2 linked regions of the Styela clava genome follow. Each later gene encodes a partner of the first gene's protein in a complex. Links are inferred from orthologs where the notes say so. Each region holds a gene or a part of one and is shown in the gene's direction. Other genes may lie near its edges. The genes, in order: kinase D-interacting substrate of 220 kDa-like and xenotropic and polytropic retrovirus receptor 1 homolog.

Evidence for each region.
Region 2: the proteins of kinase D-interacting substrate of 220 kDa-like (region 1) and xenotropic and polytropic retrovirus receptor 1 homolog are in contact, whole or in part, in a cryo-EM structure (PDB 9JXQ), measured with the Homo sapiens proteins. The link is inferred for Styela clava from reciprocal best matches to the Homo sapiens genes KIDINS220 and XPR1. Residues at the interface, in NP_065789.1 of Homo sapiens: Glu36, Cys37, Gln39, Asp70, Trp72, Met102, Trp105, Trp110, Tyr113, Lys114, Val138, Ile142, Trp143, Gly146, Arg147, Ser166, Asp167, Lys168, Tyr169, Gly170, Trp176, Arg179, Lys180, Gln198, Glu199, Gly200, Ala201, Ser203, Lys234, Arg267; in NP_004727.2 of Homo sapiens: Leu95, Lys189, Lys190, Gln193, Glu197, Ala200, Asn204, Glu205, Ala636, Asp637, Asp638, Leu641, Leu642, Gln644, Met645, Met646, Asp647, Gln648, Asp649, Asp650, Val652, Arg653, Asn654, Arg655.

What each region holds. Positions count from the first base shown.
Region 1 is NC_135250.1:11,590,712-11,599,077, forward strand, and holds the start of kinase D-interacting substrate of 220 kDa-like, read left to right. Parts: upstream 1-5,077; 5' UTR 5,078-5,158; coding exon 5,159-5,293; intron 5,294-8,019; coding exon 8,020-8,217; intron 8,218-8,366. UniProt on the Homo sapiens protein: Promotes a prolonged MAP-kinase signaling by neurotrophins through activation of a Rap1-dependent mechanism. Provides a docking site for the CRKL-C3G complex, resulting in Rap1-dependent sustained ERK activation.
Region 2 is NC_135252.1:4,383,780-4,392,487, forward strand, and holds the start of xenotropic and polytropic retrovirus receptor 1 homolog, read left to right. Parts: upstream 1-5,272; 5' UTR 5,273-5,388; intron 5,389-5,578; 5' UTR 5,579-5,617; coding exon 5,618-7,732; 3' UTR 7,733-8,708. Other genes in the region: phosphatidylserine synthase 2-like, read left to right, coding at 486-678; transcription initiation factor TFIID subunit 10-like, read right to left, coding at 2,295-2,376, 2,440-2,562, 2,652-2,716, 3,304-3,423. UniProt on the Homo sapiens protein: Inorganic ion transporter that mediates phosphate ion export across plasma membrane.

The sequences.
Region 1 (8,366 bases):
AAAAAATTAACAATATCTTTATGGCTGGTTCCTGAATTCGCTGTCATTTTTTGTCTGTATTTTTCTATCGAGTCTATGTTTTTTTGTCTCGAAACAAATCCTCCGAAATGTTGTTACTGTGTATCCATTGAAATCTGATAGAACTCATCTAATGGTATTTCATATTCAAATTATTATATCCGCTCGGAAAATTTTGAAATGTAAATGTTACATTTTTGTTATTTGTATTGGTGAATCGAATTTTACCAAATAGCCCACTGAAAAGATGTGAAATTCATGCGATATTGGCGCACAATAAGATCATTTAAAAATGTAGCAATGGTGTTACGGGAAACAAATAGATAAAAAACACATATACAACACTCAATCTTAACGGAAGCGAAAAGTACGTTTAACTCGTGTTTTTGTCAGAAATCTGCGAGTCCGTTGTGCAATTTAATCGTTTGATTCAGCGCGATTGACCCGTTGTGTCCAAGTCACATGTTACCAGGTATTGCAATAGTTTGCTGTTCGAATATTTTGCCCAGCCCTCCTTGCCTTTTATGTTACTTAAATCGTAACTTGGCTGGTACTTGAGTCTGGTAAAAACGTTTTCGCCCCGCAATGAATTTTGCGACACTGAAAAGGTTAGTGACCTACATTAAATATACTACTACATAACTTTATAATTTGGTCGATGCGGACTCATTCGAACTTTCTGCAGCTCATTTGAGGAGTGGAAGTGGTGACTCCTCTTCGGCCCATGGGCCGCGGCCCATTAAGTTAGTTCCTTTACACTTGGCTAACACAGACAGTCCCCAAACTCATAATAGAACTATAATGTAAGAAATCTGAACAAAATTTTGCCCTAACCCTAACCTGGTACACATACTACAGGAGTTTATTTTTTGGTTGAATTAGATAATTGAATTTTTCCTGACGAGGCCGCGGCCCATAGCTTGATGGGCCACGGCCCATGTGGCCCAATTAGATGGGCTGTGGCCCCGGCCCATGGGTCGTAGAGGAGTCACCACCCCTGTAGCATTTGAGACCGCGGACTCGGGTTGGGAAACACTGCTCTAAGCCTTCTACCTACCGAACGCACGACTTTTGTGATTTATATGCGGGAGTATGGAAGAATTGTGCTGACGATAGTAAAAGGCACTCAACGTCAAAATAACATTTAATTTGAGCTGAATAAAATTGAGCCATTATTTAGGTTGCACTGAAATATAATATGCCGTTTCGAGAACATTGTTAGATTTGGCTTGCATGCCTCACACTTTTGCCCATTTATATTTCTCTATTATCTTAACAATCCCAGACAAATCATGGTATATCTTTATTATCTTGATTTCCTGTTGACAGTGACTCATTATTGCGCCATAGTAAAGACATAGGAAGCGAAACTTTTCCCCGGGTTTTGATATAATGCCCTTTTCTGATACTTTGTTCTATACGACACTGTGGGATTGCGAAAGTGTCGTTTAATATTGAGATTTGCCTTGGATACAGTTTATATTAGGGGTGCGGGCTTCGTGAAATCTGTCATATTAAGTTGGCTTAGTTAGGCCCTATTTAGTATTGGCTAATATTGCTTGTTATTGTAATTGTTATTTTATCATTCTTTCATTGTTTATTTATAATAGTGCATCCGTGTCGTTATAAATTAGTTTTATCGTTGGTCTTCAAGTTTCTGTGCTGTAGCAACATTTTACTTATATGTGGAGATCGATGAATACAGTTCGTTTTCTGAGGATCTCGTTGCCTTTTTACTTTTGTTGTGCAGTTACTAGAAGCTGGGAGATTGCGCATAATTCTTCAAGACGGATGCGGGTGCAAATAGGACTTCACTATAACAACGTTGAGTGGATTGGAATTCACGTTCCTACTTTAAAGACATCGAAAACATTGGGAGAAAGATCAATATCGATTAACATTAAAAAACATGATGTACTGCAAACTTGACTTAACAATTATTTCATTTACCATGATTGTCTGAGACTAGGGCTGGGCGTTTCGAAACACTGATATGTCGAAACGGCGGCGTTTCGACCTTCGAAACGGATATTATGACGTCATAGCAAATGCAACCTGAAATTAGTCAAGGTATCATTCAGGGATGTCCAATTCGAATTTGATATCAAAATTTATTCGAATATCGTGACTCTCAAATATCGTTTTTAGTGTTTATAAAAATATTAAATATCGCGCAAACGTCCTAGCGCCGCCGTCCACGTTTTGATTGAAAATTTATAACACGTCGAGGAAGTTTTTAATTAAAAATATTTTACAATTATTATGGTATATTTTAACATAGTTGAGATAGTCTGGGACACTCTGGGTAACTGCGCAATAAATCTAAAATCAAATCAAATTTAGCTCAACGATGTCGATGTAACGCTGACGATAATAAACAGTCAGGGTCACAACGAAAATTAGGCGTATCAAAAATCCGAGTTATTGTTGATTTTACTGTATAATTTAAACATTCCACCTAGTTGTTCTTTTTTCTGTGCTTGCCACGATACACCATAATTCATAAATACTGTAATGTTTACCAAGTCCATTTCCTTAGAGGAAAAAAAATAACTAATTTTAATAAAAGACCAATTCCTATGTTCCTGGAGTTTAGAATGTATTCGGAATTCGGAAGATTCAAAAATATCTTTTTCCAGAATGTATTTGAAATAGTCAGGTACTCGGTTATGGCTCTCCCTAGTATAATTACCACACTGGATCACAAGAATTTGTGGCATCGGATAAATTAGAAAATGACCCCACCCATTACATTAGATGAGGGCAGGGCCGCATTGAGATGTTGAGAGGCCCCATGCTCTGCTGCTTGTGAGCCCCATCTCTAACAATGACGTAATTCGTATTATCCTGGCGCCATTTGGCCGCTGCTTTGTCATTGAGCAGAAACATTCGTGGAATTATCATTATCGTTTTATCCTCTCGAATTAGCATCCAGTGATATCCTTTTGTGGATTTAATTGTGGAAAATATATGTCATTATACATTAAATTCGATGGGTAATAATGGTATCATATTTTACTGTTTATGACAAACGTGTGTTTCGTTTCAAAGGCAAAATTTCGTTTCGAAAATGCCCAGCCCTATCTGAGACTATTTCAAATTGTCACGCACCATAATAGGTAGAATAAATGAGAATACATACCATTACTGCATTACCGTTCATTCTGTTACTTCTACTACTAACGCCTTCTATCTTCAGCTACCAGTATGAGTACTGGTACCTCTTTAATATTACACTATTTTATCTATTATGTGTACACAAAGTTCTAAAGTATAAGTATAAGTTTATTTCGACTCCATAATTAATACATAACAGCTTTTCCCTTGAATTCTCTTTTAAAAACATCAAGCTAAAAATCCCAAAAATAATAACAAGATGATTATTGCCTTTTAGCGCCATCTTGAGGCCATGATGTTCTCGCACAAAAGCGTTTCTGGTAATTTTGTATCCTAAGTTTTATTCACGCAGCTGGGCGTAAATAAGGTACCGGTACCCTATATCCGCTACCCCAAGTACACTACACCGAATAGTCACGGATATCATGATAATTCCGGGCAAAGCCCGGAATAATATGAATATTTCGTGAATTTATTTGCTTACATTTTATTGTGACTTTCCTGAACAGCTAATAAGTCTAGTACCAAGTCCATGCTTCCGAAAACAAACAATATAACTAATCCCATACCCGACTTGGAATGGTAACAGGACGAGAGGCCGTGGTTCGCCATATGGATAAGCCGTCTTATCGGCTTTCCTCTCCCCCGGGATAAATATGTAAATCCTATCCTATCCTAATAAAACGGTTCCATTACATTTGAACCCATGACAATTGCACCTGTATGCTATTGCACCTATGGAATTTTTTTTGTTTCTCGGATAGTTAAACCGATACTAACCCTAACCCATGGGTTTTAGCACCCGCATATAGATTGAACCCGTAGATATACGCATGGGTTCAAATGTACATGGGTTCAAATGTACTGTCACCTAATAAAACAATTTGATTAATTGATTGACCTGCAGACCTGAGACCTGTACCGGTATTACCGGTATTCTTCAGTTCTTGAAAGAAACATGGCTGTAGGGTAGATTCGTAATGTCAGATTGCAAGATTGTCAGACATCAGGTCAGGTTATAGTTTATTTGGTTAGACTCTGTCCTGTTGTTGATGTGACTAGCCTATCACTGTATCACCCCAATGCTGATGGAATTAGGTACGGTATGTGATAATTCAAGACAAATGAGTTCTTACTATTTGTCATGTAGCAAAAGAAGATAACATGCGGTTAACCCACCTCTTTATGCAGTCATGCACCCAACTTTGGTTGGGCAATTTGACTCCCAACTTTGGTTGGGCAATTTGGCTCCCAACTTTAATGAGCTTGGTGAAATCTTTTTTTATGTCTTTACTGCTTTATGTCCATAATGAATACTGTTCACTCTTGTTTACATAATCTGTATTCAATTTGAGAACTTTTATAAAATTATTAAAATGGTGTGGCAAATGATTCTTATTTTTAATTACAATTCTTATTTTTTATTTTAATTTCTTTTTCATTTATTTATCTTTTCGTTTGTTTGTGTCATTTAAATTTATCTAAAGCTCATTTTTCTAACTTTATTTTACCCCCATGGTTGTGCGTGTGTGTGTGAATTGATTCAATAATTTTGGGTAAGTGAACATGTACGACTTCTTTTTCGCAAAACCTTTCATCTTATATTCTGTACCCTTATCCAAGGTTTTGTTTGCTCTCCTAATTTCATAATCAGTTTTTATTTATTTATTTTTATCAATTGATCAATCACCTTTTATGGTGATTATGGAGTCGAAATGGACTTATCTTATCTACATTGTCTCTGTATCTTCAGATCTTGGCGCAGACCAATAGTGAAATATATCCAAAAGAATCTTCTCGATACTTTCAGCAGCTGTTTTGTTTATCATAACTTGTATTTATGACTATTACTGTATTAGAACTGTAGAAAATGCTAAAATAGACCGATACTGCAATTCGATATTGGCGTTATAACTAATACTGTAATAATTAATCTAACGTCAATCATTCTTTATTGAAGTGCCTACTTTTAGTCATTCCCCCTAAGTAATATCAAGCTTTATACTTAAGTACCGGGACAGAAATGACCCAAGATCGGGGAAAAGTTGTCGAGTTACAATTTTTGGAACCTTTGTTATTGCATGATATTGTATCCAATGGAACAACAACTGAAGTGGAAAATGCACTTAAAAACATCCCAGTGGATCAACGAAATCAGGTTAGTCATTTTTGCATTTGCATATTTACCTTGTGTTGTTATGATATGCTAGGTTTTCATATTTATTCTATGAGAGAGGTAAACAATGATACCCATACTGACCTATGCCATTTTAATATTACATGAGTTGGATTATATCCTCTGGTTTGTTGCCATATTCAGAAGTTTTAAAAGTATAACAGCCAAAAGTTCAATACATTCGTATAATTTTATTTCTGGCACAAGCCTTGTTTAACTAGGTTCGTGTCCTTTGTAATTTTTTTTGTGTTTGTGCCGGTGAGCATCACATGACATTTTTCATGTTTTAAATTTTTTAAAGGTTTTACTCTCACTCCAGAATTCTCCATTTTTGATTTGTGTATAATATTATGAATTTCTCAAATCAAACTATCGAGGCTAGTTCACTAAATGCCATCAAGTAGGCTACTTCTAGTTGACGTGGCGTAGCCATTTTCGCATATGTCATTTCTAACCCCCACCTGACTATGCCATCCATAAATTACATCACTATAACGTCACAGTGACGAAATAAGGCCTGTCAAAGTATACGTTTTGTCGACCAAAACGCACAGACGATCACCCGAAATCAAGCAAGCTACTTCTCTCGTTTCTGGTCGTAATGATCCCGATATATTTCTGCCTGAAATATAAAAATCAAACTTCGTTGTCCGCCGTTGCGTGAGAACTAATACTAGTACTTTGAAATATAGTTTACCAACAATAATTATGATGTCGGTCGCCGAAACGATCGTGGTGACACAAAAAAAACAATTCGCGATTGTGATCAAATTAAGAACTGAAAAAGTAATTTCTTATTATCAGTAAATAAAAAGGAATATTTGAATTATTCGACCAGGAAAAATTAGATTTTACCTGTCACTGATCGCCGCATATGTAAATATTTATTGAGTAACAAAAATAATAAAAATTCAGCTCGATAAACATTAAATTACCACGAGTAATAATATCACGTTTCATGCACATTTATTCGATGCGACTTGCGAGCTTTTTTGTGCACAGGGTTACCATCTACCCAATGCCAAAAATAATCACGGGTGTTGAAATTTTTATTTTTTGGGGGGTACGTAACAACGGCAGAAACATAGAATAAAAATGACAAAGAAATCATACACTAGCCTTTTTCGCACTTCTAAATTTTTATTTTTATTATAAGTCGCTTCAGACAAGGTTGTGTGCAGACCCGAAACCGCAAAAAGCCGTGGAAGACACGAAGTCACAGCCATTCGCAACCTCTAAAGTTTTCATACTTTGGTTTCCCACAATGCAATCCTTGTGGTAGTATTGTGGACATTAATTGATGTTTTCTCCATAGCCTCTAGGTTGATATTGCTGCCTGGAAATACCGCAAACCCTTCCGTCACAATAATAACAAAACGAAGCGTGAATAATGATAAACGTCCCAACATCTTTTCCGCGGAAGTTTTGTACGCAAAACATGAACGAGTCATCCATGCTCCCTAAGACAAAATAAGCGCGCAACTCAAAAATTAGCACTTTTCTTAGAAATAAGCACATTATTACTTTATTACTTTATAAGACGCGGGCTAGAAAATAGCACAAATCTTAGAAATAAGCTTAGCATGTCATGGTAACCCTGCGTATATACGAATGTAACGCCACTGACATCTGTGAGTTATACTTTTTTCTCAAAATTAGTTTTACAATTTTATCGTTATATTTCTCACATTTGTTGTTCATTTATTGACCAATAAAAAGCGAACAGCGTGACATGTTTACCGCTGATTACGGATTAGTTACTGTTTGAGGATTAGCAAAAATATGCTTGAGATAGGGCGTGCCAAACATTCACCAAACGACGACTGGCAAGGGTAGGTGAGCTACACGCAACTCTGGAATTTATTCAGAAGACTTTCACTGACATTTTTTTGTTTTTAAACACCTTAGGGCGTCGTGAATATGCACTTTGCGTGGTAAAACAGAAAGAAAAAGTTGAATTTCTCGTTGAATGCGTTATCAGTCTGCGATTGACGCATGATGTCTTGGATGTAAATATTTATTGAATAACAATGAAAATTCAGCCCGATTAACATTAAATTACCACGAGTAATAGTTTCACATTTTATGCACATTTAATCAATTCTACTTGTGAGCTCGTTTTTTGCATATATACGATTGTAAAGCCACTGACATCTGAGAGTTATACCTTTCTCTCAGAATTAATTTTCACTATTTTTATCGCTTATTTCTAACATTTCTGACATTTGTTTCTCTCTGGAAATAGCTAGCTCATTTATGGAACCATAAAAAGCGAACAGGGTGACACGGTTACCGCAGATTACGGATTAGTTACTGTTCAAGGATTAGCAAATATATGCTTAAAAATAGGACGTGCCTAACATTCACCAAACGTCGTCTGGCAAGGGGAGGCGAGCTACACGCAACTCTGGAATTTATTCAGCAGACTGTTTTGTTCTTAAACGCCTTACGGCGTCGTGAATATGCACTTTGCGTGGCAGAAAAGAGCGAAAAATTGAATTTCTCGTTGAATACGCCATCAGTCTGCGATTGACGTATGATGTGCCGGACTCGGATAAAATCATCAAGGGCTCGGTCCGAATCCGAGTATCAAATTACAAGAGATTCGGTCACGAATCCGAGCACAAGCCCGAATTTTGTCGCATCCCTAATATACGGTAGGTGTTATTGTATTCTGGTCACTTAATAATATCTCATGCCTAATTCAGTTTCAGCAAACTGCTTTACATGTTGCGTGTGAATTAGGAAGACCAGAAGTTGCAACAATTTTTATTTCTTCTGAAGCTAATACAGAAGCAAAAGATCAGGAAGGAACAACTCCATTAATTGCTGCAAGTAGAAGTGGATCTTTGGCATGTGTGCAGTTATTATTGAAAGATAATGCTGATGTGCATGTAACGGACAATGTGAGTTGATACAGTTTGATTTTAGATGAACACTTTTTTAAAGTGTTTGTGGCAGATTATTTTTGATTTAAAATATTACTTTAGTTTTATAATAAATCATTTTTCATGAATGATGAAGCCATGTGAAAACACTGCGCTTACAACAAATT
Region 2 (8,708 bases), on another chromosome or scaffold:
TCAGGTTATTGAACCTTTCCTCTCCCACACATTTTAAATTTATTTTAAGGGTTAGGGTTTATTTAAAATCATTTTTAAAATTGAAATTAGATCTTATTTTCAGGCCAGGTCTTATTTTCGAGGAAACACTGTAGTTTTGCGATGATTAGCCATTGTTGTGTTCTGTGTTATGTCATAAAAATTAAATGGGTCGCCATAAGCTGTGGTAATAAATAGTGGGTCCTCTAAAACTCTAAAAAGGAACCACGTTCTAAAGCATAGAATTTTACACCCCACAATTAATAATTTATTGACGAGATCAGGCAACGGAAATATCATGTTTCTTCATATTCAATTTTGCAACCCTACCACCGGACAGTGCATCCCTCCTTTTTCTCCTATACTCAGTCCATCTCTCCAAAGATAAACCAGAATATTTTATACAAAATTACCTATTTGTATATAAGTGACATCAACTGATAAAGCAGTTCATATATTTTTAACAGGTTTCCGAGGTTTAAAGCAATGGTCAAAGAAACTACTTCAAAGGCCATTGTAGACTGTGATGCAGGAGAATCCACCAGCAATGAGGAAGTGGGCTTTGACTCAACAAGTTTATTAGATAACAACAGAAAGGCAAAACATGTTCGACGAAGAGATATTCACTCCAATGGAACACATCATGCAATTCAAGATTGAATCGACATCTTTTTTTACACCTTTTGTATTCATTTGGTCCACCATATCTTGACAAACTTTGCCCATCATTGAAAAATTACTAAACTTTTGGATCATACGCTATCCACCAACTCTGAGAGAGAAATAGATAGATTCAGAATGTAATTTGCTAATTACCTCAAGTATTTGCTGCATAATAAATGCTATGCAATGAGTTTCTGGTTTTTGACTCCTAACCCTTGCAAATATGTCTATATTCTGAATCATTATGGTACAATGACTTGATTAAAGACTAGCGCGTCACACTTAATTGTCTAGATGCTCTTACTTAGTTTTGTCCTCTCGTCAGCAGAATTCATATGAGAACCTCTGTCATTTGGAACTCACTTCTCAGATCCTTGTATACTACTATTAGAAACAAATACCCGAGAAATTAAGAGGTTTGATAACCTGGGTATTCATATGTACAAAGATAAGTCATAGTCAAGTTTTATTATTTATCAAGTAAAAAAAAGCATAAATAAATCATAGTAGGATGCCGAGTGACAACCAAATCTATTCAAAAGATCAGGAATTCTAGATGTCAAAGTACGGTACCGTCGTTATCTGTGAGTGTATGGCTTGGCAGCTGACCACTCAATCTCCAAATCTGATAAATTCAACAACTATTCCATAACTCAGTGTTTCTCAAACTGTGTGCCGCTGAGCTTTTTGGAATTTTAGATATCGAGCCATTTGTATTACACATAGTCATGCAGACAACGGACAAGCTTGGGAGACTCGTTGGGCCCGCACTATCCATTTAGATAATTTGTATTGCATTTGCCTTGTTGATGTAGTGAGAGGGGTCGTTAAAATGGTATTGGATCGTTATAATGTATTTGTGGACTTCCAAAATGTTGACGACTTGCTCGCTTAGTTAGGCTACCTGCTTACAAATCCTATTCATTTGTCAGTGTGGAGGCCATCGAAATAATCGTGCTATTTGAATCTTCATGGCTTTGTTTCTTGTAATTGACAACGAAATGTGGTTACGGTTGGCAGCAACGAAACTTTGTTTTAAATCTTAAATCTTAGTTTTCCCCAAAACAGGCACACGCACTGTATTAACATTTGCAGAATGAATTGGTTTAAAGCAATTTTTTACAAGTGTGCCGCAAATTTTTTTTTATTTGCTGAGTGTGCCGCGAGCAAAAAAAGTTTGAGAATCACTGCCATAACTTGTGGATCTCTATGCTAACAAGCCTGGAAAGTCACTGCTTTTAAAAGCCTAATGAATTGCAGTAGAAAACATGAAGTTCAGACTGATTTATTTACTGAAGCATTGAGTAGTACGCTCATGCTAATATTTTCCCAAATAATAAATAAAAAGGGAAATTACTTATAACAATAAACATTTGACATCACAAAATACAACACATTGAAAAAAATAAAAATTAAGAGAATACTTGTCTAAGGTACTATCACCCAGGGCCTGGTATAGATGCTTTACAAGCACTTTGAACAATCTATGATGCTCGGCCTTCCAGCGTCAATCAAATTTGATAAGGTAGTGAACACCATTCATATCAAGACACAATGCTTAAGCATTTTTTTTGTGGCATCCCAGTCCAGAGCGTTCTTCCATTTATTGATAATCATGTATAGTACGGAGGCTTCTTTACATTGATACCATATTCTGAAAGTGCTGGTGCAAGATCGTCCAAAGTCAACACATATCTTTAAAAAGAAGACATATTAAATTTGTGTAGATGGTAAACCGACTATCCGTATAAAACTTACTTTTTCTCTTTTGCTTTACTAGATCTTGACTGTTGAGATGATCCCTTTAGCTTGCTAGTCTGAAGAGCATCGTTGATTATATCAGACATGAATTTTTGAGCAGCCAGTGCTAGGATTCGAACTCTATAATGTGAAAATTACAACGTTAAAATACGAAACAGGAGCATCATATTTAAAACCTGCATACACATTTACCGATAAATAATACTTACATTCTTCCGTCCGTAGTATCAACACCAGATTTGCTCAAATAGTGTGCAGCAACGGAGTCTGGAATCTGTTCAATCAGAGTAATATCTTTGAATGTAACTTGATTCACAGATTTGTAAACTTAAACACCAATACGTATAATGATTGATAGGTATATTTTTTACAGATTATTTGAGCCGTTAGATGTGTGGACTACTACTATTTTTTGCAATACTTCCATGCTTCCAAAAACAAATAACTAATCCCATACCTGACATGGAATGGTAACCAGACAAGACTGCAAGAGGCAGTGGTTCGCCATATGATTAAGCCGTCTTATCGACTTTTCTCTCCCCATGGATAAATATGTAAATCCCATCCTTCCCCACACAAATTTGCCTAAGGCAAGGTATTGGACCCCAAACTAAAAATGAAAAATATACTGCATAGACGAAAATTAAAACTATTTACTGGAATAGCAAAAGTCAAAATTTATAATCGTTTTGATATTATATTATCACTGTATCACAAAGATATTGGTACTTAAATTATTCATTATAGTACAAAAAATTCAGAGTTGTTGAATAATTCCCAGTACAGCAGTATTTACTGACTTCAGTCAGGATTTATAAAAACAACATGTTAAGTCTGTAAGTTACAACTTCCTGAACTTACAGTGGGTGTGAACTCTTCAATCTGAGAAAGGAAATCTGACATTTCTTCGGAGGTTAATTGTTCAGATTCATCAATGTCCTGCTCAACTCTACTATGTGAATCTCTGTTAACGCCATTCATTTTCAATCAGAGACCTGTAAACGTCCGAGCCAGGTAAAAGAAAGGGTACAGGTATGGTACTTCTCTGTAGAACTACCGGTACGGTACCACTTCATGGCAGCTCCTGCCTCGAACGAACCGCGGCGTCTCTTGCCATGGTTTTATGGCGCTATTCAGTATTCACAAAGTCATGTACCAGATATTAGTTTATCATGCGGAATTATATCTATTTAAACCTGTAACCCAACCTCAAATACATCAAAACTGTATTCATAGGAAAAATGCTCCAACCTAGTTTTCTGAGATTAAATCGAATTTTTGTAAGTATTTATTGACAGACCAACTTTTCTAATAGTCATCTTCAATGTGAACCTTAATCTCATCAGCAAATAGGTTGGGAGTTGACCTCGATTGACCATTCCGACCATGGTCGTATCGCTCCCTCCCGTCAGTACCAAAATGACTATAAAGAGACTATTATAGTTGCTTTGGTCAATACCAAAGCAATTTTATTTGTGTTACGTATTTTTTTTCGTATTGGTGACTGTTTTGTTTTTTGGTTGACAAAATAATAAATATCTCTCTCTCTCCCTTGTGCAGGCCCCAACAGCCGGCAATTTATGCAGTTTTGAAAATTGTGGCATAACTTTTTTTTTAATAAACACATAGATTCTCGATCTTAATCTAATTTTTGTTGCAAAGATAGGATACACAGACAAAGTGAAGCCACGACCTAGTGGCGCCATACGCGCAGTGGCGTGACATAGCGAGAGGCGATAACGCTTTTTAATAACAGTTCCCTGTCTTTATTTAGCCATAATTGTACCAGTACAGTTTAATGAAAACCTAGCTACTACCGGTATTGACGAAGTACATGGGGTAGACAGGAAATTATGTGATGTTGTAGAATTATCTAGTATATATGTACGCATTTTGTAAATATTGTAAAGCTCAATACTGGCAATATGTTAACCTGAAGAAAAATCTGTAGACATTTCAATAGATCCAGAGATCGGATACCGTACCGTAGATTCCAAGTGATTCAGTAATCTTGTATAGAACTTACCGTATTCGTTTTATTGGTCGGTATAATTCAAACAATGGCTAGTGGTTTTCAATTCCTCCAGTTCATCCCAGGATACCATATTGTTCTATTACTTTAATTTACTTTGAAAAATCCATGACATGGTAAAATGGCTTCTCTTTAACACTTATTATACCCTATCACACTGTCCTTTTATACCATTATAAACTTCTGGCTGAATTGCAACCATAATAAGTTTTGTGGAAATGCTTTTAATTAATTTTTTTTTTGAAACTGCATTGCTTTTGCAGTTTTGGCTGAATCCAGAATTGGAAAAACCTTAGAAGAGTGAGTAATTTGATACATAACATAATCACATTTCACAATAACTTGTAGGGTCACATTTTTGCCAGAACAGTCATAGACCACTTATAACACTATCACCCTTGAGTGGTGCATACCATATATGTGCACACTCTTTAAACTTGACCATTCCCCCGATTTATAGTATGTGGTATCATCACTCAGTGGTGTTGTACTTACATCCAAATTCTTTTATTACTATATTTACATGCAGTGTGTTTCATGTTGTGTTTCTATTTATAGATGTTGTTTTGTCTTACAAACTCCTTTGTACAAACAGTTTTGTATTCTCCATCCTTATCTCTGTTATTACACCCACTCACCCTCCTTGCACAACTGTCTGTATAAGGACCATATTATACGTATTTGATTTACCATATTATAATTTATACCTATCAAATGGGGTGTATGCCGCACATTTGTGTTTTGGGCCAGTATGGTCCAGCATACATCCCGTCTTCAGTATTTATAATTACTAATTCTTTTATATTGCTTTTACGAGACTAATTAAGATACATACAGAAGTAATTTAAATTGGATATCTCAGTTACACTACTGTCAAGGATGGTACCGGTATTCTTATCCAGATATTGATTTAGGTAAGAATCAAAGTTTAAGCTCTTCGGCCTCCAGTCATATGAATCATTTTGGTTTACTTTTTATATCGCTAAGATTTTCCATAAAAACTGTCCTATGTCTGTATATTTATCCAATCTTGCTTCAACATGTGATCTTAATATGTCTAATGTAAGTAAAAGTGCTAGAATCAAATCTTCTATTTATTTTCAGATATCTAAAGAGTGTGTTTGTTGAACTAATATTATAATAATGAAGTTTGGTGAGAATTTACAAGCTCATTTGACTCCTGAATGGAGGAGTCAATACATAGATTATGAATTTCTGAAAACTTTACTCTATGACTGTAGAGAAGAAAGTCCTGATGCTGAAATCACAGAAGAAGCAACAGTACAGCGATACTATGCACGATTCGAAGAAAAATTCTTTGCTATTTGTGACAAGGAATTAACTAAAGTTAATACATTTTATGCTGAGAAGCTGGCTGAATCAACCAGAAAGTTTGCAACACTTCAAAGCGAACTCCAAGCACAAAAAGCATCCCTTTTGAAAAAGGGGCCTGTGCGACAAAGAAGAAAAAGTGAATTTCTAATACCCACAAGAAAAAATGTCCAAGTCAAAACTGTGAAAGATCTCAAATTGGCTTTTTCTGAATTCTATTTGAGTCTTATCCTCCTACAAAATTACCAAGAATTAAACTTCACTGGTTTTCGTAAAATTCTCAAAAAGCATGATAAAATGCTTGAAACTGATAAAGGGTGCAAATGGCGTCAAAAATATGTGGAAACAGCCCCTTTTTATACAGATACACATAACTCACAATTAATTTTAAAAACAGAGACAAAATACATAAATGATTTGGAGGGAGGGGATCGTTCCAAGGCAATGAAAAGATTACGTGTGCCACCACTGAGTGAGTTTGAAATGTATCCAAGATGGACGGTCTTTCGAGTAGGCCTCTTCTTAGGTATATTGTGCATGATATTTGTTGTGGGAATAATATCTGCAATAATATTGGAAGTAAAAGTGGATCCATGGCTGGCATTGGACCTTTATCGGCCTGGATTAGTACTCTTCTTGTTTTTATTCTTCATTGGGATTAACACATGGGGATGGCGATCTGCTGGAGTGAATCACGTGCTTATATTTGAAATAGATCCTCGAAATCATTTGTCACATTACCATTTGTTTGAGCTAGCTGCATTAGCAGGGATTCTTTGGGCCATCAGTGGTATATTTTTGATATTTGGCAATTTAGAACCTCTCTCGGATCATTTTCCTGTTTATCTCAATCCTGGATTATTGTACGCGACTTATTTAATCTTTCTACTGAATCCCTTACCTATTCTGTACCATAAGGCCAGGTTTTGGCTTTTATGTCGAATGTGGCGACTGTTTGCTTGTGGGTTTTATCACGTTGAATTTGCTGATTTCTGGCTGGCAGATCAATTGAACAGTCTTGTCTCATTATATATTGACTTTGAATTCGTTGTATGCTTCTATGGCTTTGATGGAAATATATGGGATGGATGGAGAGGCGAAAAAAATTTAAGAACATGTGCTTCATATTCATATGGTCTACGTGCAGTTCTTGCATGCTACCCAGCATGGATACGTTTTATTCAATGCCTCAGACGTTTTTATGACAGCAGAAAATGGTTCCCTCATTTTGTAAATGCTGGCAAGTACTCAACAGTTTTTTTCAAAGTGCTATTCAATGCATTGTTCGTGTTGCATTTTGACCATACAGGTGAACTAAACAGTGTATATTTTTATTTGTGGTTAGCTAGCTTGTTTATAAGCAGCTGTTATACGCTAGCTTGGGACATAAAAATGGACTGGGGATTTTTAGACAAAAATGCTGGTGAAAATAAATGGCTACGTGAAGAGATTGTTTATTCCTATAAAGCGTATTACTATTTTGCTATTGTTGAAGATTTTATTTTAAGATTTTCTTGGGTAATAAGTGTTGCAATCACCCATACTTTAAAATCAACTGTTTCTAATGGGATATTAAAAACTGTTTTTGTTATATTGGAAGTTTTTCGACGTTTTATTTGGAATTTTTTTCGACTTGAGAACGAACATTTAAATAACTGTGGTGAGTTTCGAGCAGTTCGGGATATTTCAGTTGCACCACTACGAGAAGATGATCTTGCGACATTAATGCGTATGATGGATGACGAAAATGGTGTGGAGGATTATAGAAGAAGAGTGCGGGAAGGTGGTTCTGGGGGGAAATCACTAGGATCAAATTTATCTCGCAAAGTAGGATCATCTATTCGTCATAATGCTTCTTCTGGTGTTATGTTGTATGTCGGCAGTGGGGGCTCTGACGAGGAAGGAACAAGTACAAGTGCTATTTGATTGAAATATTATTCTCTTATCGATCATTTTTTGTCATCTAATAGGTAAACTTTATATAATGGTGCTAATCATAGTGCTGTATTATTTATGTTTGAAACCTTGCCAGATTGAGAATACATCTGAAAAAATACATCTTTATGTAGTAAATATTGTGAATTACCGTATAAAGTCATCGAGATAATCAAAACGGTGAAAATTGGATGTCATGGCTAAAATTTGGAAACCAAAAAATGTCAGACAATTTTGTGATACATCTGTTTCCATAGTTTAGTAGTAATGATTTTGCTTCTCATTTGCATTGATTCATTGTGAGAGTCTTTCAGTCACTAATTTTTATTCTTCTAAGCAAACCATCCAAAGTTCCAAAATATTTAAGAACATGAAATCCAAGATTTTACTGTTGCTATAACCAAATATTGTACAGTAAGAGTGTAAGACAAAAATTCACCACGCTTGAATTATGAAACATTCTTTTCTACCATCTTATTTGTATTTTGAATGTATTTGTCAATTCCGTATTTGTTTTTTTTTTTATGGTATTTCATGGACACTGTTGGAAGCTATTTGCAAATTCGATACCTGTGCATATATATTTTATTCATGAGGGGACTCTCACCTGAAATTGAATTAATTGAGAAAAGGGCACTTGCTTAGAGTAATAAATTCACTATTCTTACATGACCTACTGTTCAGACTTGTATTGCAGCCTTATGGATTTACTATAATATCAGTCATTATGTGAAACCTATGTTTTATTATTATTAAGAATGGCAAGAGTTTGAATTGAAGTAAACATGGAATATGATGGAATGATAGTTGTTCTGAAACTGTATAATATTAATAATGAATACTTGAGCGTTGAGCCAAAAAATGTTGTTTTCCATATTTAAAATAAAAAGCCTCACTTGGAAAAAATTTGTTGTATACCTTTCAATTGCTTGGAATTGTTACTTGTGTTGTTGCCTTGTAAATTTGT